Linked DNA regions of Lytechinus pictus. The protein of the gene in region 4 purifies or fractionates together with the protein of the main gene of each other region. This does not show direct contact. Links are inferred from orthologs where the notes say so. Each region holds a gene or a part of one and is shown on either strand. Other genes may lie near its edges.

What was found.
Region 1: the proteins of anaphase-promoting complex subunit 4-like (region 4) and anaphase-promoting complex subunit 1-like purify together in Homo sapiens (co-purification; 13 studies listed by BioGRID and IntAct, with this or other methods). This does not show direct contact. The link is inferred for Lytechinus pictus from reciprocal best matches to the Homo sapiens genes ANAPC4 and ANAPC1.
Region 2: the proteins of anaphase-promoting complex subunit 4-like (region 4) and anaphase-promoting complex subunit 7-like purify together in Homo sapiens (affinity purification with western blotting; 14 studies listed by BioGRID and IntAct, with this or other methods). This does not show direct contact. The link is inferred for Lytechinus pictus from reciprocal best matches to the Homo sapiens genes ANAPC4 and ANAPC7.
Region 3: the proteins of anaphase-promoting complex subunit 4-like (region 4) and anaphase-promoting complex subunit 2-like purify together in Homo sapiens (affinity purification with western blotting; 12 studies listed by BioGRID and IntAct, with this or other methods). This does not show direct contact. The link is inferred for Lytechinus pictus from reciprocal best matches to the Homo sapiens genes ANAPC4 and ANAPC2.

Annotation. Positions count from the first base shown.
Region 1 is NC_087251.1:44,500,801-44,508,038, reverse strand, and holds the start of anaphase-promoting complex subunit 1-like, read left to right. Parts: upstream 1-4,217; 5' UTR 4,218-4,312; coding exon 4,313-4,399; intron 4,400-7,238. UniProt on the Homo sapiens protein: Component of the anaphase promoting complex/cyclosome (APC/C), a cell cycle-regulated E3 ubiquitin ligase that controls progression through mitosis and the G1 phase of the cell cycle.
Region 2 is NC_087246.1:28,909,786-28,917,627, reverse strand, and holds the start of anaphase-promoting complex subunit 7-like, read right to left. Parts: upstream 3,026-7,842; 5' UTR 2,923-3,025; coding exon 2,851-2,922; intron 1-2,850. UniProt on the Homo sapiens protein: Component of the anaphase promoting complex/cyclosome (APC/C), a cell cycle-regulated E3 ubiquitin ligase that controls progression through mitosis and the G1 phase of the cell cycle.
Region 3 is NC_087259.1:2,283,096-2,290,178, reverse strand, and holds the start of anaphase-promoting complex subunit 2-like, read right to left. Parts: upstream 3,026-7,083; 5' UTR 3,012-3,025; coding exon 2,937-3,011; intron 1-2,936. Other genes in the region: endoplasmic reticulum transmembrane helix translocase-like, read left to right, coding at 3,225-3,479. UniProt on the Homo sapiens protein: Together with the RING-H2 protein ANAPC11, constitutes the catalytic component of the anaphase promoting complex/cyclosome (APC/C), a cell cycle-regulated E3 ubiquitin ligase that controls progression through mitosis and the G1 phase of the cell cycle.
Region 4 is NC_087256.1:13,044,991-13,052,311, forward strand, and holds the start of anaphase-promoting complex subunit 4-like, read right to left. Parts: upstream 3,007-7,321; 5' UTR 2,964-3,006; intron 2,839-2,963; exon of another isoform or gene 2,604-2,838; intron 1,705-2,603; 5' UTR 1,672-1,704; coding exon 1,480-1,671; intron 1-1,479. Other genes in the region: small integral membrane protein 19-like, read left to right, coding at 5,095-5,213, 6,535-6,665. UniProt on the Homo sapiens protein: Component of the anaphase promoting complex/cyclosome (APC/C), a cell cycle-regulated E3 ubiquitin ligase that controls progression through mitosis and the G1 phase of the cell cycle.

The DNA.
Region 1 (7,238 bases), on a different chromosome or scaffold from region 4:
CATTGCACATAATAAACCCTCATACAGCTTGTCCCAGAAAAGAAAATAAAGAATTGTCTTAATTTAATCACAAATATTATTAACAAATATGCCAAGGCCATGAACCAGGGCATCGCAAATTTGGTCTAAAAAATTGCTTTAGACTTGAAAGAAAAAAGTCATGAAATGAAACATGCAAACATTTCACATCGGAGATTTTAGGGTTGAACATGCCATAATTTGAACATTTATAATTATTAAAAAATACATGCACCTTCCTATTCATTCTAAACACTAACTTACAATTCTTTTAATAACTTTAAAAATGCTGCCGCTGGAGGAAAAGCAACTCCTCTATCTACTTCAACTATGCAGGAGAGGCAAAAATGAAGTATTTGGGCAATTCCACAAGTTGGTGGAAAAGAAATAAACAACTAAATGATCAAACAAAATCATTTTTTTCCGTTTTTGGTTTCCCTGATTTCCATAGGATCTCAAACCATATCAGTAAACTTGCCAAGTGCTGTGCAACTAGAGAGAAAAAAACCCCATGAAGTTGCAAATTAAACATGGTTTCTTTGGTATGGTTTTCATAAAAATTGTGATGAAGGAGAAACATTTCTATACTCTCTTAAAGGCCATGTCACCCTTGGACAAAATGGAAAGCAAGCAACCATGTTTCCCATCTCTTACACAAAAAATAAATATTGCTCTCTGATTTTACAACATATGAGGTTTCCATCTTTCCTTAGAATTTTCCATCTTTCCTAAGAACACATTCAACTCAATTCAATTCATTTTCCACATATTGAGTAAAAAACATACAATATCAGTAGGCCTACAATCAAATACATCCTAGATAATTACAATACAAACTAGTTATAATATGGCGTACATAAAAAAAGACGTAGAAAATCAAAATGTGAAGGGGATTGACAAAGGCCATATTGATCTGTCAAGGTCAATCCCCAATGAAAAGAAAAATGGATTAAAAATGGAATACATAAATTACATATGAGAAGAGATACTTGACCTCAAAACCCCAGATAAAGTAAAAGACAGTAAAAGACGAATGAAGGGGAGGGAGGGGCAAATATAAAACTACCTTAAGGAGTAAGAAGGGAAATTTTATATCTATGTTTGAAGGAGTGTGGAGTGTGGGGAAATGTTTGAGTTCATTTGATAAAGAATTCCAAAGTTTGGGTCCGACATATATATTGAATAGTGTTTCGTGAAAATGTGCATTTCAAATTTGGAATAAAGAGATCATTAGCTTGTCTGGTTAGACAAGTTAACATCTTGTCATATTGCTGTCCAAGAAACATGAGTAACCAACCCAAAAAAAACAACCAACATTGTGTCTCTGAGCGCTTTACATGTTCATATTCCCCCCCCCCCCCGAGTCCCCGATCACAGGATTCCGACATGCCCGCACACAATGTATGCACTTTCTCTATACCCTGGGGAGCATTTCAACAACAGTTCCAAGACTCAATTGCTAGGCCTACTACATAGGCTTTCGCATCCTACCGGGTACCCATTTAGGGTTTATTATTTATTTCCAATTCTTCTAATGCCAATTCATCCAATTGCCAACTCGTCTACTATCATTTGGTCTACCATTAGTTCGTCCACTCACCACATGGTCTACTTTCATTTAGTCTAATGCCATTCCGTCTAATAACCAGTTGGTCCAATAGCCATTTAGTCCATATACCATTTGGTCTAATTGGACTAAGTGTTAAATTGTGCAAAATGAATGAAAATGAAATGGATATTAGACCAACTGGTTATGAGACGACAACACTTCCACTCAAATTTCCATTCCAATGCATAGCAGTTTTCTCTTCTCAAGAAAAAAACCAGAATCACCACTCCAAAACATAGATGGGGCATTCCATCGAGTCAGTCGCATTTCATCTTTGCTGGTCAAAACTTGTCATTGTTACAAGGGCGAGTCTCTCTGTCAACTTTAACTTGAAATCAAAGCTTTATGAGCAAACTGACCAACATGATTATGTTCCTTCATGAACTGTGTGTTAGAAAAAAAAACTAGTCTCAAATTATATACCTTTTGACATAACCTGATAATAATACAGAGAATATTAAAGTAGCATTATATTAATTACATTTAAAGAGAATTAAATTGTTGAGAAGAGGAAATGCACTTGTTTTCTATTTGGTAATTAATGCTCTATGAATGTACTGCATAGTGAATTTTTAAATCATTCATGTAGACATAACACTACTCAGAATGGTGCATTATGGGTTCGGTGCATTATGGGTTCGGAGACTGGCCAGATTAGAGTATGGCAGTGGATTGTATTACCAAACACTTTTCATGAATTCAATCATATCAAACACATTATTCTCATAAAATTCACCAAACTTTTAACATAAATACACAATTACCTACAAAATATAAATATGTGAAAATTTTGCCGAAATTGTTTTTCCTTTTTACGATATTAGCTTCTAATCGGACCCCTCTTTGCACGTGAAATATTTTGGTCACTTGAAAAAGGTATCGTATTACCGAACGTGTTTTTTCTATGGGAAAAGTTGAGAAAACAACAAAAACACTTATGAGCTATTTTGACCATATTTTATTATTGTTAGAATATTAAGACTTTGAAAATGTGTTTTTGACCATTTATCATCAATTTCTATTCAAGTTCTCTTTGGAAAGATGTTGCAAAATTTTGAGCGTATGAATTTATTTTCTGATGCGTATGATGCGTGCGTTCGGTAATACAAGGCCGGTTGGTAATACAATCACTCACTATACTACTTTAGAGTACTAGGCTGCTGGATCATACTTGCATATGAGGAAAAAGCTGCAGGCTGTATGCAAAGACATCCTAAGAATTGGATAGCCGATCATAGCCCCATTAGAAAAATGTACATGACAAAGAATTAACTAATTACTTTCTTACTCAAATCTGAACACTTTTACCAATTTCACATCAGAGCACGATTTTCACATTGATAGGTCTATCTCTTGTAATTTTTGTTTAAAAAAAACCAAAACTTATGGGTCTGTCCCATCACAGTTTGTCCAGCACCAAAAAAAAAATGCAATTTCAACACTTCAAGCAACTTCTATTTGCATATTTTCTTTTCCACTGATGTTACAGAAATGACCCTAAAAATATCAAAATGATTAATGAAATTCCAAAGAAAAGGTCATGATTCTGATTCCCACTCCATGAGTGCAGTGGAGGCAAGCCCTAATGTTTATAGATCGCCTTCTTCTTCTTGTTTTTTCTTGAAGTGAACTACCTGGAGTTAGGCCTACCTTGAAGGCTTTTCTTCATCAACAGTTTGTCAGTAGTTCCATAGACCGCCCTTTTCAGAATTAGCCTGTTCCAATCGAGCCTATTTTTAATTTCGCTCCCAGCATTATGCAGTTATAAATGCTCCACTTTTTTGGGGTTGAGTGCCAATTCCCTGCCCCCTGAACGCACATTATTCAAAGGTATAAGTGCACAAGGAATCTAAATCATATGGATAAGAATTAAGATAACTAATGCGTTTACGCGTTAGTTAGCTTCACCTTTGAGAGGAGAAGGGGGAGAACCCCTCCGGAGATCATGTGATCAACTGATATTGTCAATATTACCATTATTGATAGCGCTGATTGATGTCAACCAAAAATTTGCGAAAATGAAATCTGCAGTTTGCATCCTCCATCTCACATCCAACATTCTCATCTGGGCAAAGAATGGTTTGCCAAGATTCAATGGATATGGCTGCCTCTGGAAAATATTATAAAGTGCAATAAAGCCTAATAAAGGGATTAAAAGTTACATTCTACAAAAACTAAAGCCAACAATACAGTCTATACACACACAAACATACATTACATACTGCACGCTCACTCTCAGCTCTGGTACACAATCGGCCTCGCTGAGATTAGGCCGTAAACGCAAGGGAAGGGACCTCCCCATTATTAACACAATACACATGTGGAACAACACACGTCGAAGGGATCAAACGCAACATCAAGGGGGCTCAAAATGCACAATCCAGACAATATAAGACTATCTATTTAATTGAGATTATCATAAACAATTGGGTTTATTATTACAAGTCACGTCACAATTTCAAACATGAATGGTTTGGGGTAAAACAAATGAAAAATACATACCAAAGCGTCCACTATCCGGAAATTTATGGGTACCGCTCGCGATCGCGTTTTCCGATCAACGCTAATTTACATGCCAGATTCTGAACGCAGATGGCGACATTCCACAAATCCGAACGATCGATCCGAAACGTGCAATTATATCGAAGCGGTAAATTAGATTTGTCTTGATTGAGCCCTGAGTTGATGTCAACTCCGCCCGTGAAAATACTTGAATTGTCTTTTTCAGATTCATGTGAGACTATTGAATTAGAGGGAAAGCTGGAAGACGAGGTACAGTATGATTTTCTGAAGAATTGATTATGGAATACTTCCAGACTAACGTTAGATTGAAATTCAAATTATTATCATCGACCTGCATCACGTCACCTCAGGCTCAGTCCCACACCCTTTGGCTTAACTTCCTTAAGTTTTGCTCGATGCTCATTCTGAATTTTAACATTGTGACAAGTTAACGTTAGAATATTATATCTAATTTATTACACTCTATTGACAATTTATTTTCAGTAACTTTAAAGTTTGCAATGACCTTCTCTGATTTAAGGATATATTTTAAAGTGGTTCTTTTTTAGTGACATTTGCCATTTGATTCAAGTGACAAGTTTCAACACCCATTTTTTTTCATTGAATAAAACAAAAATGAATAAAAATGGGTGTTTATTACATAATGGCATAACAGACAGGCCAGAGGGAGGCAGTCTGACCCCAGCTCCTGGAAGATTTTTACCTGGAAATTCAAAAATACAAGTGGAATAATGAAAGGAAAGGAGACTAAAGACATGGAGAGAAGAAAGAAATAAAATTAAAACTTAAAAGAGGGATGTGAAGAGGGGAGAGGAGAAAGAAGAGAAAATACATGAAAGGGAAAGGAATAGCAAGGAATAATTTTCCTGGTATCGATCGCAATTTGCTCCACACTTTTGAAAGACTGCTATGCCAGGGCTCCACACTAACCCTTTTTTTCTACTGGTCCAACCTATTCATGTCGGACCAGTAGATACCCAGTTTTTCCATTTTTTACTGGTCCGAACCTAAAATCTACTGGTCCCCAAAATAAAGAAAACATTAAAAAAAGGCGTGAGTTTATTTTGCTGTCCTTTCTTGTTACCCCCCCCCCCAAAAAAAATGAAGGAATGAAAGAAACAAAGGAAGAAATAATAAAAGAAAGGAAGGAAGAACAAATAAAAGGTAAAGAAAGGATAGATGTGAAGGAAGGAAAAAAGAAAGAACAAAAGAAAAAAAGGAAAAACAAAAGACAGAAAGTAATGAAAAAAGGAAAGAAGCAATAAAATAAGAAAGAAAGGGTATAAGGAAAGAAGGAAAAAAGATAGAAAGAAAGAAAGGAAGAAAAAGGGTAAATAAAGGATAAATGTGAAGGAAGGAAAAAAAGAAAGAACTGAAGAGGGAAAGGAAGGAAGGAAAGAAAGAACAAAAATAAGAAAGAAAGAACAAAAGAAAAAAGAAATAAAGGAATGAAGGAAAGAAAGAAAGAAGGAAAGAAATGAAGCAAGCAATATAGAAAGAAAGAACAAAAGAAGGAAAGAAGCAATAAAAAAAGAAAGAAAGGGTAAAAGGAGAGATGGAAAGAAGGAAAAAAGAAAGAAAGTATTGAAAGAAGGAAGAAATAAAGAAAGGTAAAATGATAGATAGAAGGAAGGAAGCAAGCAAGCAATAGAAAAAAGAAAGAAAATGTAAAATAGATGAAAGTAAGAAAAAAAAGAAAGACCGAAAGACAAAGAAAGGAAGGAATGAGGGAAAAAAAGAACGAAAGAAGAAAGGAAAGGAAGCAAGCAGTAAAAAAAAAAAAAAAAAAAGTAAAAGGATAGATGGAATGAAGGGAAAAAAGAAAGGAAGGAATGAATGAAAGAAAGAGAGAAAGGGCTGAAAGAAGGAAGAAATAAAAAACAAGAAATGGTAAAGAAAGGATGGATGGAATGAAGAAAGAAACAAAGAATGAAGGAAAGAAAGGGTAAAAAGAAGGAAAGGAAGAAAGAAAGAAGAGATAAATATAGGATGGATGGACTCAAGAATAAAAGAAAGAAAGAAATCAAAAAAGAAAGAGAAAAAGAAATAGAGAAAAATGTTAAAAGGACAGAAAGAATGAAAGAACGAAAGACAAAGAATAATTAAAAAAGAAAGACAGTAACAAAAAAAATTAAAGAAGAGAGGGAAGAAACAAAGAAAGATTGAAAAGAAAGAAGGAAAGAAAGATAGAAAGAAAACAGAGGAAGAAAGCTAAAACTATCATAAATAAATTATCAGTTTCTTTTTGGCTCAATTAAGATATAGCTACGAAAGAAACCAAGTGTATCAACACACACACAAATGCATATGTGGGGCTATCATGTATTCAGACGATATCACTCGAAACCCGATCTCTTTGAACTAAAACAGAAGTGAAAATTTCTCCTTTTACTGCTTACAAATGACAGTTACCCCAATTTTTTGGAAATATGGACATTATAAGAGCTTTTCATTAGTGTGAAATGTGAATTTTGACCGTTCTGTGAGAGATTTCTGCCAGAGGTTTGCCAAGCTTCGTTCGTGCAGCCAGTAGAAAATTCACCATGTGGGCTGTGTGGCTGGCTAGCCATATGTACACTGTATGTTACCCTAGTAAAAATTGCATGCGATTCATTCTGTGTGTGAATGACCAAATTTAACGGGAGGAAAATGGTTTGCAATTTGAGTCATGGAATATTTTTTATGTTTATGTTGGACTAGTGAATTTGACCATTTCTGGAAAAGTTACTGGCCCAACAATGGTTTTTATTACTGTTTATGTCGGACCCATAAATCTTGCTATTTTTGGAAAAATTACCGGCCCGACAATGATATTTTCTTACTGGTCTTGTCGGACCAGTAAATCTTGCTATTTCTGAAAATCTACCGGCCCGACAGTGATTTTTACCGGTCTGGGACCGTCGGACCGGCGCTAGTGTCGAGCCCTGGCTATGCCAAGGCTATGCATATAAATCTTTTGTATAGCATACTGCATATTTTTACATAGGACTACTTTACTTTAGTTGAGAGCTTTTCTCTTAAAAAGTCTTATGACCCAAAATGCTAAATTCAAATAATGTAGTGTACTGAAAAATTATTCCCTGAATAG
Region 2 (7,842 bases), on a different chromosome or scaffold from region 4:
TCATGCAACTGAGGTATGTTTATACTCTAAACACTCACATTTGTATTTCTTGAATTACATCTGATAAATAAAATAAATAAATTAGATTTCTCACAGGCAGCCTCTCATATTTTCCTTTTAAGTCTCATACAATCAGACACTGTTGATTTTATTTACTCCATTCAAACCCTATTTTTACCTCAACAGATAACATATTAACGCATAATTTGCAAAATCATCATTATATACATGCATATGTATTCTAGAAAAAATCAGTATATTGAACTAATAAAATGTTGAAATTACTTAGTTAAATCAATTTTTATGTCGGACAAGGGTCTCTTTCGTTGAAATATCAATGAAAGGTGTCTCTAAAAGGACACCGTGTTCTTAATAAGGGAAATAATGAAAATTTCGATTTTATCCAGGGGCGGTATTCTGAAAATCGTGTTAATTTTCGTGTTAAATATCGTGTTATCTCTCTGATTTAACACGCCCCTAACATACCCCCAAATCGGTATTCTGAAAAGCGTGTTATCTGCATGTTATCTCATTTCGTGTTATCTTCAGCTCCTCCCACTCTGCATCTATTTAATCCAATCAAATGCGCTGTTAAAGAAACAAATCGCGCAAAATTTTCAGGGAAAAGGGGAATTGCGCGCTCGGTGACACGAAACCTGCATTGTGACATCATTTTGTAAGCGCATACAGCTAAATAAAAGTTAGGGCTGGAAATAGACACAGGGAGGGGTGATTGTGACAATTAAGAATTTAATTGAATTGAAATATTGAATTGAATAACTATATTGTCCATAGAGGAAATTCTTCTTTCACTGGTTTACACACATATGTAGATACAACGTGTATACACAGAACAGAACACAGAATGGAGTCAGACGGCGTGGATACAAAATTATGACAGGAGACAGATGCCTCGGTCGATTGGGGAGCAGGCAGGGGACGATCGCCCCTAAAATATGAGGGCAAGCATAATTCATGAAAAAATATATTTGAAATGTAAATTTTGAAAAGCATGAATAGCACTTAAGAAAAATTAAATCTGACATAGAAATATCAAACATACAAAATTGTAATTTTTTTTCTTTATTAAAATATTGGATGCGTATAGCGATCGATCAGCCAAAAAAAAAAATCACTTTTGCCCGCCCCCCCCCCTGATCCGAAGCATATAGATTGACTGGTGGGATAGATGAATTAAGGATAACCTAGAAGCATTGAGAGTTAAAAAGGTGTAATTATTGGAACTATATAACCATTGAAAAAGGGTAAAAAAATTGTGAATATTATAGAAGAGTTCCCAAATCGCCAATTCCATTCTTTTTAATTTCTGTTTGTGTTTTTTAGACGTTTTAAAGTTTCTTCCTCTCCATCCGTCTTTTTTTATAATATTGCAAAAAGTAACCAAATAAATAACTTATGAGCATTTATGATAAATATTTCAATTAATCAAAATCAAAGATGCATTTGAAGTGTATTTTCACAGGATATTCCAAAGAAAATGTTGTTTTATCATTGTTAGTAGAGAGATAGGTAGATGGAAAATAAAGCTGGAAAATGAAAGAAAAGTACAGTAAATTCTGCCAGACGATATACATATGCTCGTATATGTTCTTTTTGACGTTTGCGTCTGCTAGAAAAAGTGCAGCCATCGTCATCCACAACTTAACCTCTCCTTAATGCAGTGTTAAATGTTCGTGTTATCTTTGAACAAAATTTTAGCTAACACCAATATCGTGTTTTCTTCCTCCCTAACACCGCGTATGGGGGTTGCGCGTTGGGCCACGTGTTTTTCATGCTAACACGATTTTCAGAATACCAATCGTGTTAGCTAACACCGTTTTTGTGCTAACACGGTTTTCAGAATACCGCCCCAGTTGTTTGTGAATCTTGATTTTTTTTCCTCTTTTTACCTCATAAAGTACGCTCCATAAATTCTACAATCAGTAATAAATAAAACATTATTTGATCCCATTTTACTGAAATATATGATTTTATGAAAAGTCGTCATTCCGAAATAAAAGGTTCAGGTGACGATGAAGACTAAATATTTTTCCGATACTATATCGATATCAAACGATGTCGCGGACTTGAAAGACAAAATTGCCTTCGTGAAACGGAAAGCGCTGATTTGTCGCCAATCTTCCTATCTCGGAAGAATGGTCCTAGGACTTTCCTACGTATTGCTCATCTCGTCATGCAACAGGCCCCATGTCTGTAGAAGTATATGTCAAAATATTACAAAATATCAGACATGGAGTCCTCAAGGCTCAAGTCAGAGGCAAAGCCAAAGGTAGTAAACATTCGACCCCCTCTAAATTTCACATTTATTTTTTATGAATTTTTCAAAAGTGCCATTTTAACGCACAAGTCTAAAGACTATGGGGAATGTTTTACGCGCGTACGCGTGACACCCACAGGGATTGGACGAAGTACGCCCTCTCTAGCGTTATTAGCTAGGCCCTATATCTCTTGACTTGTAGGATGGGGGATCGGGTGTCCGGACACTTTATATTTTTGAAGCCTTCTTTTTTGTCTTAAGATTACACTAAAAATATGAATTCAATAGTTGTAATCATCTTCTATTTTGTTCTCTATAATATTTTCTAAAATTTTGTACTAAAATTTGATGAAACTTCGCTTGTAATTTTTTCCAAATGACTTTCTAAAATTGATCATCCGGACACACAACCTGTCCGGACACACAACAACTGGGTATATGATATGCAGACACATCACAAAAAATCATGAATGGGACTGAGGATGCTTCCTAGAATCCTACTACACTACCGGTACGTCTATGTAGTAGACGGAGACCGGAGTGTGCAGTACTTCAGAAACTTCATGCCTTACCAAAATAGACAAATTTCCAAAGAGTCCTTCCTTTCGCAGGAGGCGAATGTGATCCATCAACCAGACACCCATTCTGACGGTTTTTTCTTCCTACTTGCTGTGCTTAACTTGTTAACAAGTGTAAAATTCACACTCCCAAATTCAAGGTAGGCACTTATGAACCAAGTTTGAAAGGAGACTCGTAAAATTACGTCACTCTCGCCGATGAATATTCATTAGATCGTGGTCGTGCGTGTTCAATACACACTGAGTACAGCTGGCATGCAGAAAGTTATATGCGAGGAACTTTGGCTCTGGACAGAGACAAGTTGTCAAATAACGTGTGTGTGTGTGTACCATCGGCTGGTAGTATTCCATGCTGTTCTACAAACCGCGTCGGAGAGAGTGCATGGCAATTCGGTAAAACGAAGTTTCCGATATAAAGAGATAATAACACTATGTACAGTACGTTGAGAGGCAAATGTCAGATCAGGGGAGGCAGGAGTACAATGTTTTTTTTTTAGGGAAGAATAATGTAGAATAAAAGGTATTATATATAGCCAATTGATCTAGGTGAGGGATTAAGCTTATAGCGAACAATGATGTTTAAAAAAGAGAATGAATATACCTTACCTGAATATTATAATGGTGAAGCCAATTTAAAAGGAGGTGAGGCAAGTTTCAATGGAGGTTTTTAAAAAGAATAAACTGTACTACAAATTTAAAAGGAGGCGAGGCAAGTTTCAATGGAAGCTTTTAAAAAGAATAAACTGTATTATGGTGAAGCCATGCAATTTAAAAGGAGGTGAGGCAAGTTTCAATGGAGGTTTTTAAAAAGAATAAACTGTACTACAAATTATGGTGAAGCCAATTTAAAAGGAGGTGAGGCAAGTTTCAATGGAGGCTTTTAAAAAGCATAAACTGTACTACAAATTTAAAAGGAGGCGAGGCAAGTTTCAATGGAGGTTTTTTAAAAGAATAAACAGTATTATGGTGAAGCCAATTTAAAAGGAGGTGAGGCAAGTTTCTATGGAGGCTTTTAAAAAGCATAAACTGTACTACAAATTTAAAAGGAGGAGAGGCAAGTTTCAATGGAGGTTTTTATAAACTGTACTACAAATTATGGTGAAGCCAATTTAAAAGGAGGTGAGGCAAGTTTCAATGGAGGTTTTTTTTAAAGAATAAACTGTATTATGGTGAAGCCAATTTAAAAGGAGGCGAGGCAAGTTTCAATGGAGGTTTTTAAAGAGAATAAACTGTACTACAAATTTAAATGGAGGTGAGGCAAGTTTCAATGGAGGTTTTTAAAAAGAATAAACTGTACTACAAATTATGGTGAAGCGAATTTAAAAGGAGGTGAGGCAAGTTTCAATGGAGGTTTTTAAAAAGAATAAACTGTACTACAAATTATGGTGAAGCCAATTTAAAAGGAGGTGAGGCAAGTTTCAATGGAGGTTTTTTTTAAAGAATAAACTGTATTATGGTGAAGCCAATTTAAAAGGAGGCGAGGCAAGTTTCAATGGAGGTTTTTAAAGAGAATAAACTGTACTACAAATTTAAATGGAGGTGAGGCAAGTTTCAATGGAGGTTTTTAAAAAGAATAAACTGTACTACAAATTATGGTGAAGCGAATTTAAAAGGAGGTGAGGCAAGTTTCAATGGAGGTTTTTAAAAAGAATAAACTGTACTACAAATTATGGTGAAGCGAATTTAAAAGGAGGTGAGGCAAGTTTCAATTGAGGTTTTTTAAAAGAATAAACTGTACTACAAATTTAAAAGGAGGTGAAACAAGTTTCAATGGAGGTTTTTAAAAAGAATAGACTGCATTATATGGTGAAGCGAATTTAAAAGGAGGTGAGGCAAGTTTCAATGGAGGTTTTTTTAAAAGAATAAACCCTACTACAAATTTAAAAGGAGGCGAGGCAAGTTTCAATGCAGGTTTTTAAAAAGAATAAACTGTATTATGGTGAAGCCAATTTAAAAGGAGGTGAGGCAAGTTTCAATGGAGGTTTTTAAAGAGAATAAACTGTACTACAAAATTTAAATGGAGGTGAGGCAAGTTTCAATGGAGGTTTTTAAAAAGAATAAACTGTACTACAAATTATGGTGAAGCGAATTTAAAAGGAGGTGAGGCAAGTTTCAATGGAGGTTTTTAAAAAGAATAAACTGTACTACAAATTATGGTGAAGCGAATTTAAAAGGAGGTGAGGCAAGTTTCAATGGAGGTTTTTTAAAAGAATAAACTGTACTACAAATTTAAAAGGAGGTGAAACAAGTTTCAATGGAGGTTTTTAAAAAGAATAGACTGCATTATGGTGAAGCGAATTTAAAAGGAGGTGAGGCAAGTTTCAATGGAGGTTTTTTTTAAGAATAAACTGTACTACAAATTATGGTGAAGCGAATTTAAAAGGAGGTGAGGCAAGTTTCAATGGAGGTTTTTTTAAAGAATAAACCCTACTACAAATTTAAAAGGAGGCGAGGCAAGTTTCAATGGAGGTTTTTAAAAAGAATAAACTGTACTACAAATTATGGTGAAGCCAACTTGAGAGGTGAGGCAAGTGTAAAATGATGTTTTAACAAATAATGGATATTATGTAGAAGCAAACTTGAAAGGAGGTGAGGCAAGTGTACAATGATGTTTTAACGAAAAGGGTATTGTAAAGCCAACTTGAGAGGAGGTGAGGCAAGTGTAAAATGATGTTTTAACAAAGAATGAATATTATGGTAAAGCCAACTTGAGAGGAGGTGAGGCAAGTCTACAATGATTTTTTTTTAAAGAATGATAAGTGTAGAATATAATTCAAATGATGAAGCCAACTTGAGAGGAGGTGCATGAGGCAAGTCTACAATGAGGTTTCTAAAAACAATGAATAGTGAAGAAATAGATTGCAATTGCTTGTAATAATCCACAAAATTGTGTAGTTACTTATTTCATGCAAATTGATATTAATTGATTATGCTCATTTGTGCATAATTAGTATACTATACCAATTCCTCTAACTCCCCAAATAAAGCTCCAAATGGTCTAATTTTTGGTTTAGAAACTCTTTGTGGTGTTTTTTTTAATAATTCTTGGGTTTTGTACTTTTGTATTGCATTGTTTTTTTTTTCAACGAACTTTGCTGGGACTCTCGTAACAGCATAAAATAAATCAGTTTAGTTCAACAAAACTAAAAACAATTAGGCATTTATGAATTTTGGTTGAAAACGCATATTCCATTGACGTGGTATACACAAATATCACAATTTTGAGTCATTTTTGTCTGATATGTACCTTCAAATTGTTTGGTAATTTTCAGAACCCAGTACCCGGGCTTCGCAAAACATGCAAAAGACTTTTTTTTTAAATCACAGAGCTCAGAGCCCCCCCCCCCCCCCCCCCCTGCGTAATTAGGTTAAGTATGCATTAATTTTGAACATTTCTATTCCCCAAATATGTAATATCCCCTCCCCAAAAATGCAATTATCACTGAAATGGAATATACATAATATATTTTTTGATAAGCCAGGTTATGCAAAATAATCATCACGTCGTCATCCTTTGTCAACAAGAAATCTGAACATGTCCTCTGGAAAAAAAATAATACCTCGGCCGCCTATTAAATTCTAAGTTTTCATTTTGTAAGTATTTTACTTAGCAATTTGGCTGGCTTAACAAAATGCTTAAACTTGATGCAGATCAGATCTCAGAATTTACCTTATCCAAATTGAAGTAAATACTAATACCCATTGTGATGTTATAAATTTTGAGCCAAATAGTGCCAAATATGTGAATGTATTTCTGTGCGTATCATTTTTGTATATGTAGACTTAAGACTAGTAGATGGCTGACTTACATTTAAGCAAAATATTTAGCCAAAAAAAAATGCAATTGAATACCAAAGATGGATAAGTACTTTACTTTTGCAAAATACTGAGTAAAATATACTTAGAATTGTGGTTTTAAGAGTAGCATTGAATACCGGCCATGTTCCTCATCATCATTATCATCCCACTACCACACCAGTTTCTGCAGCACAAACTTTAACTTTCATAGGTTGAGTCCATTTCAAAGCCAACACTGTCACTTTAACTTTCTTTTTTCTCTTATAACATGACGTCCACACACTGCCAATCACATCATTACAACACCAACTGTCAGAGGACAACAGAACTGCAGTTACCATAGCATTACCCCCAAAACACCACTCAATTTTGAATTGATCCAAATGAAATATGACTGTGTTGCACAAAGAAAAGCTATGTAGTCATAGTAGATTTTATTGACTTGTACATTTATAAGGCTATATATTTTGAGTAATTGTCGTGTTGTCTTTAGTGATAGTTAGTACCCACTGTGCTTATGGCCAACTTTGGTAAAGGCATACATTGAATAAACTTTTATGTACTGAAAATGATGACAGAATATATTCTAAAAAATAACATTAGAAATGCATGACAGGTAATGCAACATATTTCAACATGAACTATTTCACAATTTGCCAACATGAATAAATACTAACCTTAAAAAAATAGTAGAAGCTGATGTTGGATGGAAAAGAATATCTATGTCATACAGCTTGAAATACATTACATATGTATGCACTTAATGGTATCTACATGATCATTAAGTTCTTCTACACAGCTTGATATAATGTTGATATATCCAGTTTGGCAAGTACTGTTGTGGTTGAGGCAAGGTTAATGGTTTTTTCTGAATACTGAACCCCATTTTGTGTAACGAAATTAAATCTATCAGAGTTACATGACAAAGTACAACAGAAGAAAATACCAACAGCTAGGCAAGCTTTTTTACATAAATATTTTTTTCATATACTCTTTGATATTTTTTCTCAACAAAACAAAATGTGGCCAGCCACCCAAATATCAACAATAAGTTGCCAGGGAAGGTTCGTAAAAAATAACCAAAATAGTAATTCAGTTTTCCAAACGCATATTTAGAATATTGGTTTATCCGAAAAAAAAAATTCTTCATACTGTCAAAATGTGAGGTTGTAAAAGTTGAAGACAAAA
Region 3 (7,083 bases), on a different chromosome or scaffold from region 4:
TCTAAAATGGCCAAAGTTCAATGACCTTAAATGACCTTTGAGTTTGGTCATGTGAACTCTTATGTCTACGTTTTATGAACTAGACCAATAAAATTACAGAGTTATGATGGTAATTTGACAACAAATACCCCCAACATGGCCAATATCCATTGACCTTTGACCTTGGTCATGTGACCTGAAACTCGCACAAGATGTTCAGTGATACTTGGTTACTCTCATGTCCACGTTTTATGATCTAGACCAATACACTTACAGAGATATGGTAATTCAACAAAAAAAAAAAACATGGCCAAAGTTCATTGACCCTAAATGACCTTTGAATTTGGTCATGTGACCTGAAACTCACTGAGATGTTCACTGATACTTGACGACTCTTATGTCCAAGATTCATGAGTCAGATCCATAAACTTTCAAAGTTATGATGGTAATTCAACAGATACCCCCATTATGGCCAAAGTTCATTGACCTTTGACCTTGGTCATGTGACCTGAAAGGCGCACAGGATGTTCAGTGATACTTGATTACTCTTATGTCCAAGTTTTATGAACTAGACCAATATACTTTCAAAGTTATGATGGTAATTCAACAAATACCCCTAATTTGGCCAAAGTTCATTGACCCTAAATGAGCTTTGACCTTAATCATGTGACCTGAAACTTGCACAGGATGTTCAGTGATACTTGATTACTATTATGTCCAAGTTTCATGAATCAGATCCATAAACTTTCAAAGTTATGATGGTAATTCAACAGATACCCCCAACTTGGCCAAAGTTCATTGGCCCTAAATGACCTTTGACCTTGGTCATGTGATGTGAAACTCATGCAGGATGTTCAGTAATACTTGATTAACCTTATGGCCAAGTTTGATGAACTAGGTCCATATATTTTCTAAGTTATGTTGACATTTCAAAAACTTAACCTTAGGTTAAGATTTTGATGTTGATTCCCCCGACATGGTCTAAGTTCATTGACCCTAAATGACCTTTGACCTTAGTCATGTGACATGAAACTCAGGCAGGATGTTCAGTAATACTTGATTAACCTTATGGCCAAGTTTCATGAACTAGGTCCATATACTTTCTAAGTTATGCTGTCATTTCAAAAACTTAACCTTTGGTTAAGATTTGGGGTTGACGTCTCCGCCGTCGGAAAAGCGGCGCCTATAGTCTCACTCTGCTATGCAGGTGAGACAAAAATGGAATCAATATCGTATAAATGTCGGAAATGAAGTTGTATCCCATTTACATGATTTAAGGCTAGATCTTAGAAGGAAAGTAGGAATTCTGGGGGCGAAAATTTCAATTTTTTTTGTGGTACAAGCACATGAATGGGACGCAATCCCCGACTCCGTGGAGAGCACACGTTAGTGAATGATTTTTACTCTCTAGGAGCCTCCTGGCTATGTCCACCCTCCACACACGTTAATCAGTTGTTTTTAAAAACCAGTAAAAGTAATCTCAAAGGAATGATCGGAAGCACTAATACAGGATTACCTACTTCTTCTGTACAATGATGATGATGATTTAATTATCTTTGCCACGGCATCACATCAGTCTTTGTCCTTGTTTAAAGTTAAGCGGCCTTGCCCAGCCCTTGCCAAGGATATTAATTAAGTCTACGTCTACGCATCTGGGGCAGAGTTGGGCTCAATAACTTTCTTCAATTACAATTACCAATTACTTTTATCAATTACAATTTCAATTACTTTTAATAAAGTCATAAATGAAATCAATTCATATTTTAAATGTAGTGCCACCCATTTCAACATAATTATAAGTTAGAGAGAAACTGACATGAAGGTTTTATTAGTTTAGAGAGCATTGATCCTGCCTATTGCTCTGTTTCAATTGAAATTCTCAATAAAATGTAGATCTGCATGCTTTCTTCATATGTAGAAATCATAATGTACAACATGTAAACTTGACTTTGAGTCGTGCAAAGGGCGGATCCAGCTTTCACCTATAGGGGAGGGGGCAGTAAAAAAAGTATTTTTCATCCACATTTTTCGCAATCACCCACTTAAAGCTGATTTTTTTTTTTTTTGAGGGGGGTAGGCTATTCCAAATTTAAGTATACAGATTTAACATCTAACATTTATTGTTACAAACAAATGAGGCCACTGCATGAAATTATAATATAAGAAATGTAGCTTTGCTAATATGAAAAATTACATAGTTTGATTTCTCAATTCTTGTTGGAACCTATGAGTATGACCTTTTGCAAAATTTCTCAAATATTTCAAATGGTCAAGTGTCTCCTCTTTCCTCTACATATTAATGGGAAAGGATAGGCCTACAGTTGCATGCAAAAGATATTACTTTTATAGCTATGGGAAAAGAGAAATAAGCAATCCAGAGTAAATTAAATAATAAAGTAAGTAGATCTAGGCCTAATAAAGACAATGTAATTGAAAGTAGATCTAATCATAAGCCCGGATTAAAAGTAATCGACAGTAATTGAAGTCAAACAATTTTTCAATTACTAACTTATTACTTTCCCTAGTTTGGCTTTAGATCTAGATCTAATTCATGAATTGCTTTGCTTTGTAAAAATTGTAATTGAGCCCAACCCTGATCTGGGGCCTAGCTATAGTAGATCATAGTTGTTTTTAAATCATTCATCATAAATATGGAACTCGGGGCTCTTGACTCAAGTTTAGAAGTTGAGTCTTGGCTGGCAGAGTACGCAGCCGGCAGAAGATAAGCTCGTCCGCACAGCCACAGCTCAGCCCGGTCGCTCCCCCATACAGCCCGACCCCGAAGATGAGCCCGAGCTCTTCCATGTCTAAGTTCTGGCAGGATTTTATCAAGTGACATTTAAGCCATTGTTTGATCACAATTTATATCTTTCTACAACAATTCAATCAAATAATCTCACACAATTACTAGATATCATGTAATTATCTACGATAAAATACGATTTCATTGGTCTCACCGTATGGAAAGTGATGTTTGAGAGACATTTTGTGACTTCATCCCAAGCTAAATTGACTGAAGTATATGCAGCCATATTCAAACCAATCAGAAATTGGCGCTCAGTCTATATTATGAAGCAATCAAAATTTCAAGTAAATAATTCATAAACTATATTTTCAGATTGAAAATAATATATATATTCTTTAGTATTTTTTGAGAATGACAAATTGATCAATATATTGGTATTAAAAAAATAAAATCTAATCATATTAACAAGTGAATTGTAATCATTGTACCTTTTTCCAATATGGCACCTTCCATGGAAGAAAAAATTGAGAGTGTCACCTCATATAATTTGCGGCCCTTAGTCCTCCATGGATATATTTTCCCATTTATATTTATATACATTGCATGGCTATATCTTTTGGTGGTTGCCTATGGGGTCAGTGAATATTTGGAAGCTGGATTGATCGTTTTAGCAGCCATAGGATGTGTCCAAATTTTGGTCTGCTTGTTCTGCCATTGGTCAATACACGTGAGGTGTTCGCTCACATGCAGGAAGGTACGTAAATCAACGAGCTCTGCCTCGCCGCCGGAGGAGCCCGGCGCCGGTTGGGGCCGCGGCGCGGCAGGGCTTTCAATCTGCGACGGCCGACGGGAGAAATCTTGGGGCCGATTGCACGAAAGGGTCTTTCCAAGGACCGTCTTTCGTGTCGCCCATCTTTTATGATACGCCATGTGAAACGCATTTCAAATAAATTATCTGCAAATAGGCCTATATTTTATTTGTCCGTTAAAATAAACAAAATATTTGTTTATAAAATGATCTGATATCTCATGAAATTTTATAAAATTTGATTTAAAAGCAAGCTTACGAATTTTATTTGTTCATCATAAATTTCAGAAACACCACCCTGCTTATAGCGCATCATAAAAGATGGGCGACACGAAAGACGGTCCTTGGAAAGACCCTTTCGTGCAATCGGCCCCTGGACGGTAACTGAAAACTATCTGCGCATGTGCGACCGACCTAATTATCACTAACCAGCAAGCGCAAGCTGTACTTTGTAGTGGATTGTATTATCGAACACTTTTCTATGAATTCAATCATATCAAACACATTATTGTCATAAAATTCATCAATCTTTCACCATACTCATAAAAAAATATATAGATACACAATTACCGTACCTACAAAATATAAATATGTAAAAATTTTGCTAAAATCTTTTTTCTTTTTTACGATATTAGCTTCCAATCAGTACAGGTGCACGGCCAATATGGGAGACTCTCTCCAATGTGGAAGATAATCTCCCATATTAGAGACTTGCTTTGCAAAAGAACAAAAGAAACGACACCAACAAAATTAAAAGCATAATTTTTTCCACCCAAAATTTTGTCCCGCTGAGGTCAGAAGCCCATTTGTTTTGTGTGTGGATGACAACAAAAATCCTTATCAAAACAAAAGTAGACGGTGAATTTTTAAAGTAGACGGTGAAAAGGGGTACCGTAAGTAACGGTGTATTAACCGCACCCGTGTATAAACCGCACCCCCAACTTTGGACTAAAAAAAAAAAAAAAAAAAAAAAAAAAAAAAAAAAAAAAACCTCACATTTACATGCATATTTGAGGTACGAAGAAACAAAAACTAAGTTAAAGATTTCAAAGTATTCAAAGAGATTACCAGTGTGCAGAAATCTGCTGTTCTTGATCAATTCATCTACAAATGTTAGCAAGAAAGAAAGGTCCCGCCAATATTGGCAATTTACACACTCACTCACCTCACAGTCACAGCACAGTGTACACACACACAGCACTGCCTTTCTTGTACATGTACATTTCAAACTTCGATACGGTACCACTACCAGTACATCTTATCAAATTGTGATCTGTGTCTTTCACATTTCTTGCATCACAACCTCACAATCACTTTCAGAATTTGTCTAGCATTCGATGTCTTAGCATGAATTTTGGATACGGGATTACAGGAAGGTTCAAGAAACAAAGAAATTTGTATTTTTTCCAGTTGTTTGACGGCTTTGTGCCGTCTCTATCGTGCGTGGTGCACGGTGTACATGGTATCTTATGAAAAGCAAACGGGAAAGAAAAAAATAAGCTGGCGCGAAACGGGACTTTGAGGGGTTAAATTAAATGAATAGCGCCAGCTTAAGTCGCACTAAAACCAAAATACAACGCAAGCTAGCGCTAGCTCTTGGCTCTCGCTCAGCTGTGACAAATTATCACCGAGAATGCTTGGCGTCTCTATGAACTTAGCCAGGGAACTTTGCTGCTTTGAATCGAGAATAAAGTCGAAATTAGTGTCATGAAGGTGGGTGCATTTGTTACGACAGTATTTGATCATAAGATCATAATAATCGCTACCCATTACCCGCGGCTCATACCCCTCTAAACGACATTGCACTGGGCGGCTACGGCCGGCCACTCGATGTGTTGTGAACTGGCAGACTTCTTACATGTTCGGGAGGGGCTACGCGGGCGGGCTCAGACCCGTCACCGTGTATAAACCGCACCCCCGACTTTTGCTTATATCCCGCCGAGAAAAAGGTGCGGTTAATACACCGTTACTTACGGTAATTTTTTATGAGGAATCTGCTTATCACATTTTTATTTGCCGCCAAGGTAATCCTTTTGAAGCAAATGTAAACAAAGGAATTTGGCCTCCCAAACTGGAGACTGTCTCTGAAATTGGATACCCAAATTCTTTACAAAAGTCTCCGATATTGGAGATAATCTCTCTCATGGGAGACAGTCTCCAATATTGGCCGTGCGCCTCTGCTGCCAATCTGACCCCTCTTCGCATGTGAAATATTTTGGTCACTTGAAAAAGGTATCGTATTACCGAATGTGTGTTTTCTATAATTGAGAAAACAACAAAATCACTGATGAGCTATTTTGACCATATTTTATTATTTTTAGAATATTAAGACTTTTGAAAATGTGATTTTGACAATTTTTCATCATCTTTCTATTCAAGTTCTGTTTGGAAGGATGTTGCAAAGTTTTGAGTGGATGAAATGATATACTGACGCGTATGATGCGCGCGTTTGGTAATACAAGCCGGTCGGTAATACAATCACTCACTCTATAGCACTTACCAGTGGTCGTGCGTCCGGACAGGTTGTGTGTCCAGTCAAGCGGCAAGCCCTGAAAAAGTAGCTTCTTTTATCTAGGTGATATTCATGACTAGAGGGTTTTTGCATTGTTAATGAGCTTGGTGCCTCTTTTTATCTTTCAAAAAAAAAATCTTAAAATCCATATTTTATACATGTAGTTCAAAATAGACACCAGAAATGAATTACTCCGAAAATTTGTTTTGCCCAATTGATCGTGGGCCCGGCAGCCACTGTGCAGCGCCAGATCGACGAGGCTCTATCCCTTTAATTGTTGAACGCCAAACAGGGTAGCAGCAACTCCCATCTTTTAACGTCTTTTGGTCTGACGCGGCCGGGGTTTGAACCCCCGACCTCCCGGTTGTGAGACGGACGCTCTACCAACTGAGCCAACACACCGGTTATTGGTGCTCTAAATATTGACAAAATTTCATGTTTTTGGTATCTTTGTAAAGAAGAAGAATCATTCTTTCAGGTCATGTGTTTGGATTTTTAAAAAGATTGTGTAATATAGGTGAAACTTTTGATCTAAAACACAATAGAAAGTAATTATTTTCATGCAACAAAAGTTGTTATTTTTCCACATAATTTCTGTTTGAGCCCAAATGATTTTTAGATTATGATAAAGCTGAAGATCTAAGCTTTAATATGATATAATTTTTAAAAGAAGAGGTATTTTAGATGGGTCAGCAGCCAGCTTTTCATAGGCCAAGTACATTTACCAGCTCAAAAACAAGAATACTGCGCTCTGATTGGTCATAGAGACCACACACCCACGCAAATTCCAATGTTCCCCAGGCCTTATCTCTTCAAATAATACCTTCGCCTGTTTTGAAAACATTATTCAGCCAATCAGAACTCTGGATTTTATGCTACTCAAAAAATTCAGAAATCTCGTCTTGCATCTTGATGGAAAAAGCTGGCTGCTGACCCATCTAAAAGATGCCACATATCAAGAGTGACATTGTAAGAAAGTATAGAATTTGAGCTTTCTGATGATATAAATAATGTTTGTGCCGAAAACACAAAATTTTG
Region 4 (7,321 bases):
GGTGAAAGCAATAATAAATAGGTTTATTGCAAATGACTTATCTTCAAAAGCCCTAACATTCAAAATACAACAAAAAATTGACTGAACGATAGTGATTAAGATTGAAGTGAGCAGCAAAATGGGAGATCCAAACTTCTCACAGCATATCCAGTGATTTTGAGGTGCACTATAATCAACAACTTGCAAACATTTCTTCCAAAACTCAATCTCATGAACTGGTTGTATGGGCCTTGCTGCAGAATACAATGCAATCAAAACTCAAATCCAGAAATCAAACACAAATTTAATTTCAATGAATTACAAGTATCCATTTTAGACTTGTATTTCATTTTTTTCCCTACAAAATGGGCAGAGTCTAACTGGAAATTAAACAAAATGGTAAATGAGCTACAAAGCAATTAGACCAAACGGTTAGATAGCCATTTGTAGATGGATTAAGATAAGACCATGTAAGATGGAACAAAACAGGAAGAAAAAGAAGAGTGTAGACCAGGGTTGTGCTCAATTACAAGGTAATTGATCAATTACGTAATCAATTACATTTTTTGAGTAATTGTAATTGTAATTGACAAAAGCAATTGGTAATTGTAATTGAAAAAATGTAATTTAATTGAAAAGTAATTGTAATTGAACATTTCTTCAATTACGTAATTGTAATTGAAGAAAGTAATTGAGCTCAACCCTGGTGTAGACCAACTGGTAATTTACTGTTAAAGGACAAGTCCACCCCAACAAAAAGTTGATTTGAATAAAAATAGAAAAATCCAACAAGCATATCACTGAAAATTTCATCAAAATCAAATGTAAGATAAGACAGTTATGACATTTTAAAGTTTTGCTTAATTTCACAAAACAGTTAAATGCACATCCTGGTCGGTGTGCAAATGAGGAGATTGATGACATCCACTCACTATTTCTTTTGTATTTCATTATATGAAATATTAAATATTCTCATTTTCTCTTCATTGCCAAGTGAAACACCGGTTAATTCCTCCCTGAACATGTGGAATTAACATTGTTTAATACTACATGGTTCAGTCAAGTTGGTCCTCATGGTCAAATCTATAAAAAATGAAATATTGTGTAATTCAGACAATAAAAAACAAAAGAAATAGTGAGTGATGGACATCATCGACTGACTCATTTGCATGTCACTCGAGTTGTGTATATCACTGTTTTGTGAAAAATAAGCGAAACTTTAAAATGCCATAACTTTATTTTACATCCGATTTTGATGAAATTTTTTGTGATATGCTAGTATGATTCTGAATCATAATGCAATTTTTACACTGATTTGTAATACATGTATTTTAACTTTGTATTATATTTGTTTTTTATGTAAAGGTTTTACTGAGAGAATAAAACAATTTGAATTGAACAATTTGAATTGAATTGAGTTTGATTTTTCTCTATTTATTCAAATCAACATTTTTCTGGGGTGGACTTGACCTAAATATACTACACTTTGTAGGAACATACCTCTCCATTTTCATTGGCTAGGGCAATGAGATCCATCTTGGGGGACCACTGCATAAGGGTAACCTCTACAGAGAGGTTTCTCTCTTCAAGCTGACGGAATGACTGCTGCATTGTGGGTGATCCTGTGGCTTCTTCAGATCTATAAGGTATGCCTTGGTCAAGATGAGGACCTGTCTGTTTCAACAAAACCATTAAGATGACAGCCCATCAAAGCCAATGGCAAAGCTATAGTATAGAGTAAATATGAGAATCATAATTACAATTACAGAATTCTTTATAGATTTTTGATGCCCAACGAATACAGACCAATGAACCTTGTCATTCAGTAATGTTGTTGTTCTATTACAGATTCTTTGTTGGAAATGGAATATGGATGTGCAGCAGAAAAAAAAAACAATAATTCAAAATTTCAATTTGCTCTGGTTAAACTTAAAGTTGCCTCATACAGTAGAGGCGCACGGCTAATATTGGAGACTGTCTCCAATGTGGGAGATTATCTCCAATATCAGACTCAGAGACTTTTGTAAAGAATTTGGGTATCCGATTTCAGAGACAGTCTCCAGTTTTGGAGACCAATTTCCTTTATTTACATTTGCTGCAAAAGGATTACCTTGGCGGCAAATAAAAATGTGATAAGCAGATTCCTCGTGCAAAATTACCCCTTTTCACCGTCTACTAGTACTACTTTAAAAATTCACCGTCTACTTTTGTTTTGATATTTTTGATAAGGATTTTTGTTGTCAATCACACACAAAACAAACGGGCTTCTGACCTCAGTGAGACAAAATTTTGGGTGGAAAAAACATGCTTTTGTTGGTGTTGTTTCTTTTGTCCTTTTGCAAAGCAAGTCTCCAATTTGGGAGATTGTCTCCCCTATTGGAGAGAGTCTCCTATATTGGCCGTGCGCCTCTACTGTCATAGTATACCAGTACTACGGGACTACTAGTACTACTAGTACTACTACTACTAAGTTAGTAGTAACGGTACTCATGGTACTACTACTAGACTAGACTCTAGTCTAGACTAGAGTTCGAGTGAATTTTGTTTCTGGGAGTATTTCTTTCTTCGTGAAACTAGACTTAAATTTTCTAGAACATATATGATGGGAGAGTGGAAGTACATACCAAAATATGGCTCTATGCATAATTCAGTAAAAGGCCTACAAAAATGTCAAAAGACAAAAGCTTTGCCGCGCCGGTGTCAAGACTCAAGTCTTAGCACGAGCTCGGCCCGCGCCCGAAGTTACGGCGGCGGCGGAGCTACCGGTAGCAGTAGCAGCCCAGATCAGCCTCACTCGGATCGGTCAGTGGCACTGGCAGTGCCCCTGGCCCTGCCTGGCTGAAAATCATGGCATCGACTACCAGTACGGTATTGTATTTGTAGGGTAAAGTATGATGCGTTAATATGAAAGGTAGACTCTCTATTTATATTTTCTATTCTATTTCATAAAATTATTAATCAGAACTTTAGAACAAATGACTTACAACGTAAAAAACAAGGCTCCGCGCGGGATCGGATTGGAAGATCAATATGGGACGCCATAAACTAAGAATTAAAAATTAAAATTCATTTTACTCCAACAATAATATATTTCATTTTTGGATAAATATTTCATTCTGAGAAATATATATTTTTCTCTTGTATAAAACCATATTTTTTCCTTTTACGAAAACAATGCATTTATCTTTTCACAAACATAATATTCCACTTTAAGAAAATGTATTTTTCACTTTTCACAAAAAATGTTTCACAAAAAAAGTTCCAAGAAAGTTAAATATTTTACTAAAAACACCCATAGCAATTATTTTGTTAAAAACTATATGCTTGCGAAAAGTGATATGTTTTTTTAATAAAAAATTAAATATATTTTCATAGCAAATGAAGTGATTCGTGGAGAGTCACTGTGGGAATGAAATATATTTTTCTTAAACAGCGCCTTGAGCACATAATCAATGTGGATTTGGCGCTTTAGAAATACTCTATATTATTATTATTATTATACGTTTTTTCAGGGGGTGGGCCAAAATTTCGAATAAACTATGCTTGTGAAATAATTATGATTTGTGAAAGCAAAAAGCTTTTAACAATGTTCCTTAGTAAAAGTGCATGTTTTTATTAAAAGTTAAACCTTTTTTCTTTAAGCCAGTCGAAAGCTTTAAAATAGCCAGTAATACTTGAGTGTCATCTAACATATTACAAAAGTGTAAAGGGTTCATTAATTATTAGATGTTTTGCGGACGTTAGAATTAAAATCTAACAATTCAGCAGGTTTAAAAAAAATCTAAACACGTGACACACTTTGACGGTCAATGATGCATACCCGGTACATGTCATATTTTATTTCTATATTTGCGCTGTTTACTATGTCGTACAGTAGTTGTTTAAACAAATTCTTAAACAAAAATGTTTAATTTGTCATATTTAATTCTCCATATGGCGTAGTCAGGGGCTATATAGATCGTTCGGCCACGGCACCTCGCCGTTCGGATTTGAATTATTTGGCCTCACTAAAAAAAGCGCCCTAGTACCCCTAGTATCTGGGTGATGTTTTTATTATTAAAAGCAGCACTTGCACTTACTCTACAAATTATCAGTCATATTAGAAAGCTATTGAATACTAAATCTTTCAGCCAATTCCATGATTGAAAAGATATAACAACTCCCCATGAAAAAATAACAGATATCTTATTTCGATCGGGCACCAGTATCGAAATAACATTTTGATATATAATAAAACACATTTCTATTTCATATCCTTCACGTCGTCATAATTTAGGGTATACAGCCCTAGTATACACATTCATCATGAATTGGAGCGATAACTTTGTGGGATTTAGCTAAACTAAATGTAGACTTAAACATATTTGTAAAGAATTAAATGTTTTTTAAAAGAGGAATATTTATATTACAGTGAAATGATTTTATAAAGTCAAACTGAATGTCATATATTCCACGCTTGTTTTGCCATTCTGTCTCTTTTACGTCTATATAGAAAGTGATTACAAAATATAATAATATAGATCATAACTCGATCAAGCCCTATCTCAAGAAAATAAAATTGCTCATGCACTTGAGTCGCTAGTCTTTAGAGATATAACAACCTTCCAGCCACAATTTTTTACACATTAACCAAATGTGCGGCTGCCAATTTTGCTCAGTCGACATGTTCGATATACAAATCAGAATTTATATAAAGGCAAGACACTGCTCCTCTTCATAAAAAAGTACATTTGCCAAAACACATCCGATGCGTGGTTTATTTTTAACCATCAACATACACGTTTTATATTAGGTTCATTGAGTGGGACAAAATTACATCAGAAATACATATATAATTTATTGTTTTTTTAAGATTGAAGACAAAATTTATAAGTCACTAGTAATTGTGACTTAGGTTTGCTTTAATCAATACCTCTTTAAAATATGAAAAATCATAACTGATTTAACATGATTAGGAAGGGCCTTTAAATGGCGTTTCCATTTTGGCACTTTCTCTCCAAGTCTGCATGCTATGCACATGACACTAAATAATTGGTTCCCTTATGGCCTGCCATAGACGGTTTTATTTATTGTTATTTTTATGCGATTGATTGACTGATCCTAAAAATAATCCAAATGGCGCATGAAAACCATGGTCTTCCTCCAGAGGAACACATCGATCACTGGAATGAAGCAACTAACATTTACATGGTTGTTATCGTCGTTTCGCTTTGGTTCTTTTTCTATGTCCGAAAGTAAGTTTCGACTTTAGCTTTCTTTAGTTCAGTTAGACTAATTTGAGTCGAGTAACGTTCTGCCCGGTTGATACTCATCGTAATTCGTATATAAGCGCGTGCGATTTCTAGTGCACACAAATGAATAGAGCCAATCATATTTATGTGTTACTGTTAGGCTCCGTGCATCAAAAGTCTATTAAAGTAAACGTAAAATTAAGACAATCGAAAAGTAGAACAAGCTAACTCTACAAGTTTATGTGGGACTTAGCTAATTGCCTATTCTGGCAATTGGAATTTAATTTGGAATCATTCCAGGGTCTGGCAGGGCCAGGGAAAGCCATAATAATAATTAACAGAGACAGAGAGGTCAGAGCCAGAGGTCGTGTGGCCAGCAGGGGGGGGGGGGGGGGGGGGGCAAGAGCCAAAAATATCTTGGCCATAAATGAACAGGCAATGGCGTAATGAGGCGAACATTTTGAGGGGTGGCTGGGATTAGATATGGCGTATCGGGCAAAAATTATATTTTTGAAATGAAAGTTGCGAGTGAGGGAGCAAAAATTTCAACATTTTCATTACAAAAATCAAATTTTGTGAAAGATTTTGACAATATTCAGAAAATTATGTCATTCATCCTTCTCTTTCCTTTTTAATTTTATTTCATGCTCTTTACACCACTGTGAACAGGGTTTTATTCATGATTTTTATTCATTAAAGGAATAAAGGTCAAGTCCTCTCCAGAAAATGTAGATTTGAATCAATAGAGAAAAATCGAACTAGAATAACACCGAAAATGTCATCAAAATTGGATGTAAAATAAGAAAGCTATGACATTTTAAAGTTTCACTTATTTTTCACAAAACAGTGATACACACAACTCAGTGACATGCAAATGAGACAGTCGATGATGTCCCTCACTATTTCTTTTGTTTTTGTATTGTTTGAATTATATCATTTTTTACAGATTTGACAATAAGGACCAACTTGACTGAACCATGTAGTATTAAACAATGCTAATTCCACATGTTTGGGGAGGAATTAATCATTGTTTCACTTGACGATGAGGAGAAAATTAGAATATGTCATATTTCATATAATAAAATACGAAAGAAATAGTGAGTGGATGACATCAGTCTCCTCATTTGCATACTGACCAGGATGTGCATATAACTTGTGAAATTAAGCGAAACTTTCAAATGTCATAACTTTCTATTTTACATCCGATTTTGATGAAATTTCAGCGTTATGCTTGTTGGATTTTTCTGTTTTTATTCAAATCAACTTTTTGTTGGAGTGGACTTGGCCTTTAACATTTTTTCCAATATGTGTTTATGTTTTTCAGGAACAAAGGAAAGATTGTTAGAATGCTGACTATGAAGAAGACTAGAGATCAGACAGATCTTATTAACAGCAGGTATAAAGAAGAGCTACAGCAAGTCAGATTAAGACAACAACTAGAATCATACTACATCTGTAAGTTCCTTTTTGTCACTATGCTGTGCAAGTATTAGATGTCAATATTTTTATGTCAAGGCCACTGTTTAAAAGGGTATATTCTTATATTTCAGCACAAATAAAAAAAAAAGGTTTGAAAGGCACAAAAATTTCGAAGTGCGGGGGGGGGGGGGGGGGGGGGGCACAGAGGGTGGCTTTGGATTAGATAAAGCCCTGGCAATGTTTAAAAACAGCCATACTGTCAGGTAATCCAGAGACTTCATTATTTTCTACACATTCACTGGTGAATCTGGTTCAAGGAAAGAGCATGAAATGAGGAAGATTTATTTTTTCTTTTCTTTTCATGAAAAATTAATTTGTTAAATTTCAAGGGGCCATCGCATTTTTATCATTATGGTAATTTTGCTATCCATTGGTAACTACCATGGTAACATCGCTCATCAGCCAATCAAAATCAAGGATTTCAGGGAAGTTGGATAGCAAAGTTACCGTAATAGTAACTTTATAACGTAATAGGCCCTGGTGTCGGAAGAGGTTCATCTGGTTGCTGGTTAGTAGAGAAAAACTTTACCTGTACTTCATTAAAAACACAGGTTAATTACATGTACCGTACCTCGAGCGAAGTTGGTACAGGCTCCACTCCACTTCACTACCGCTACACTACGCTCCACCTA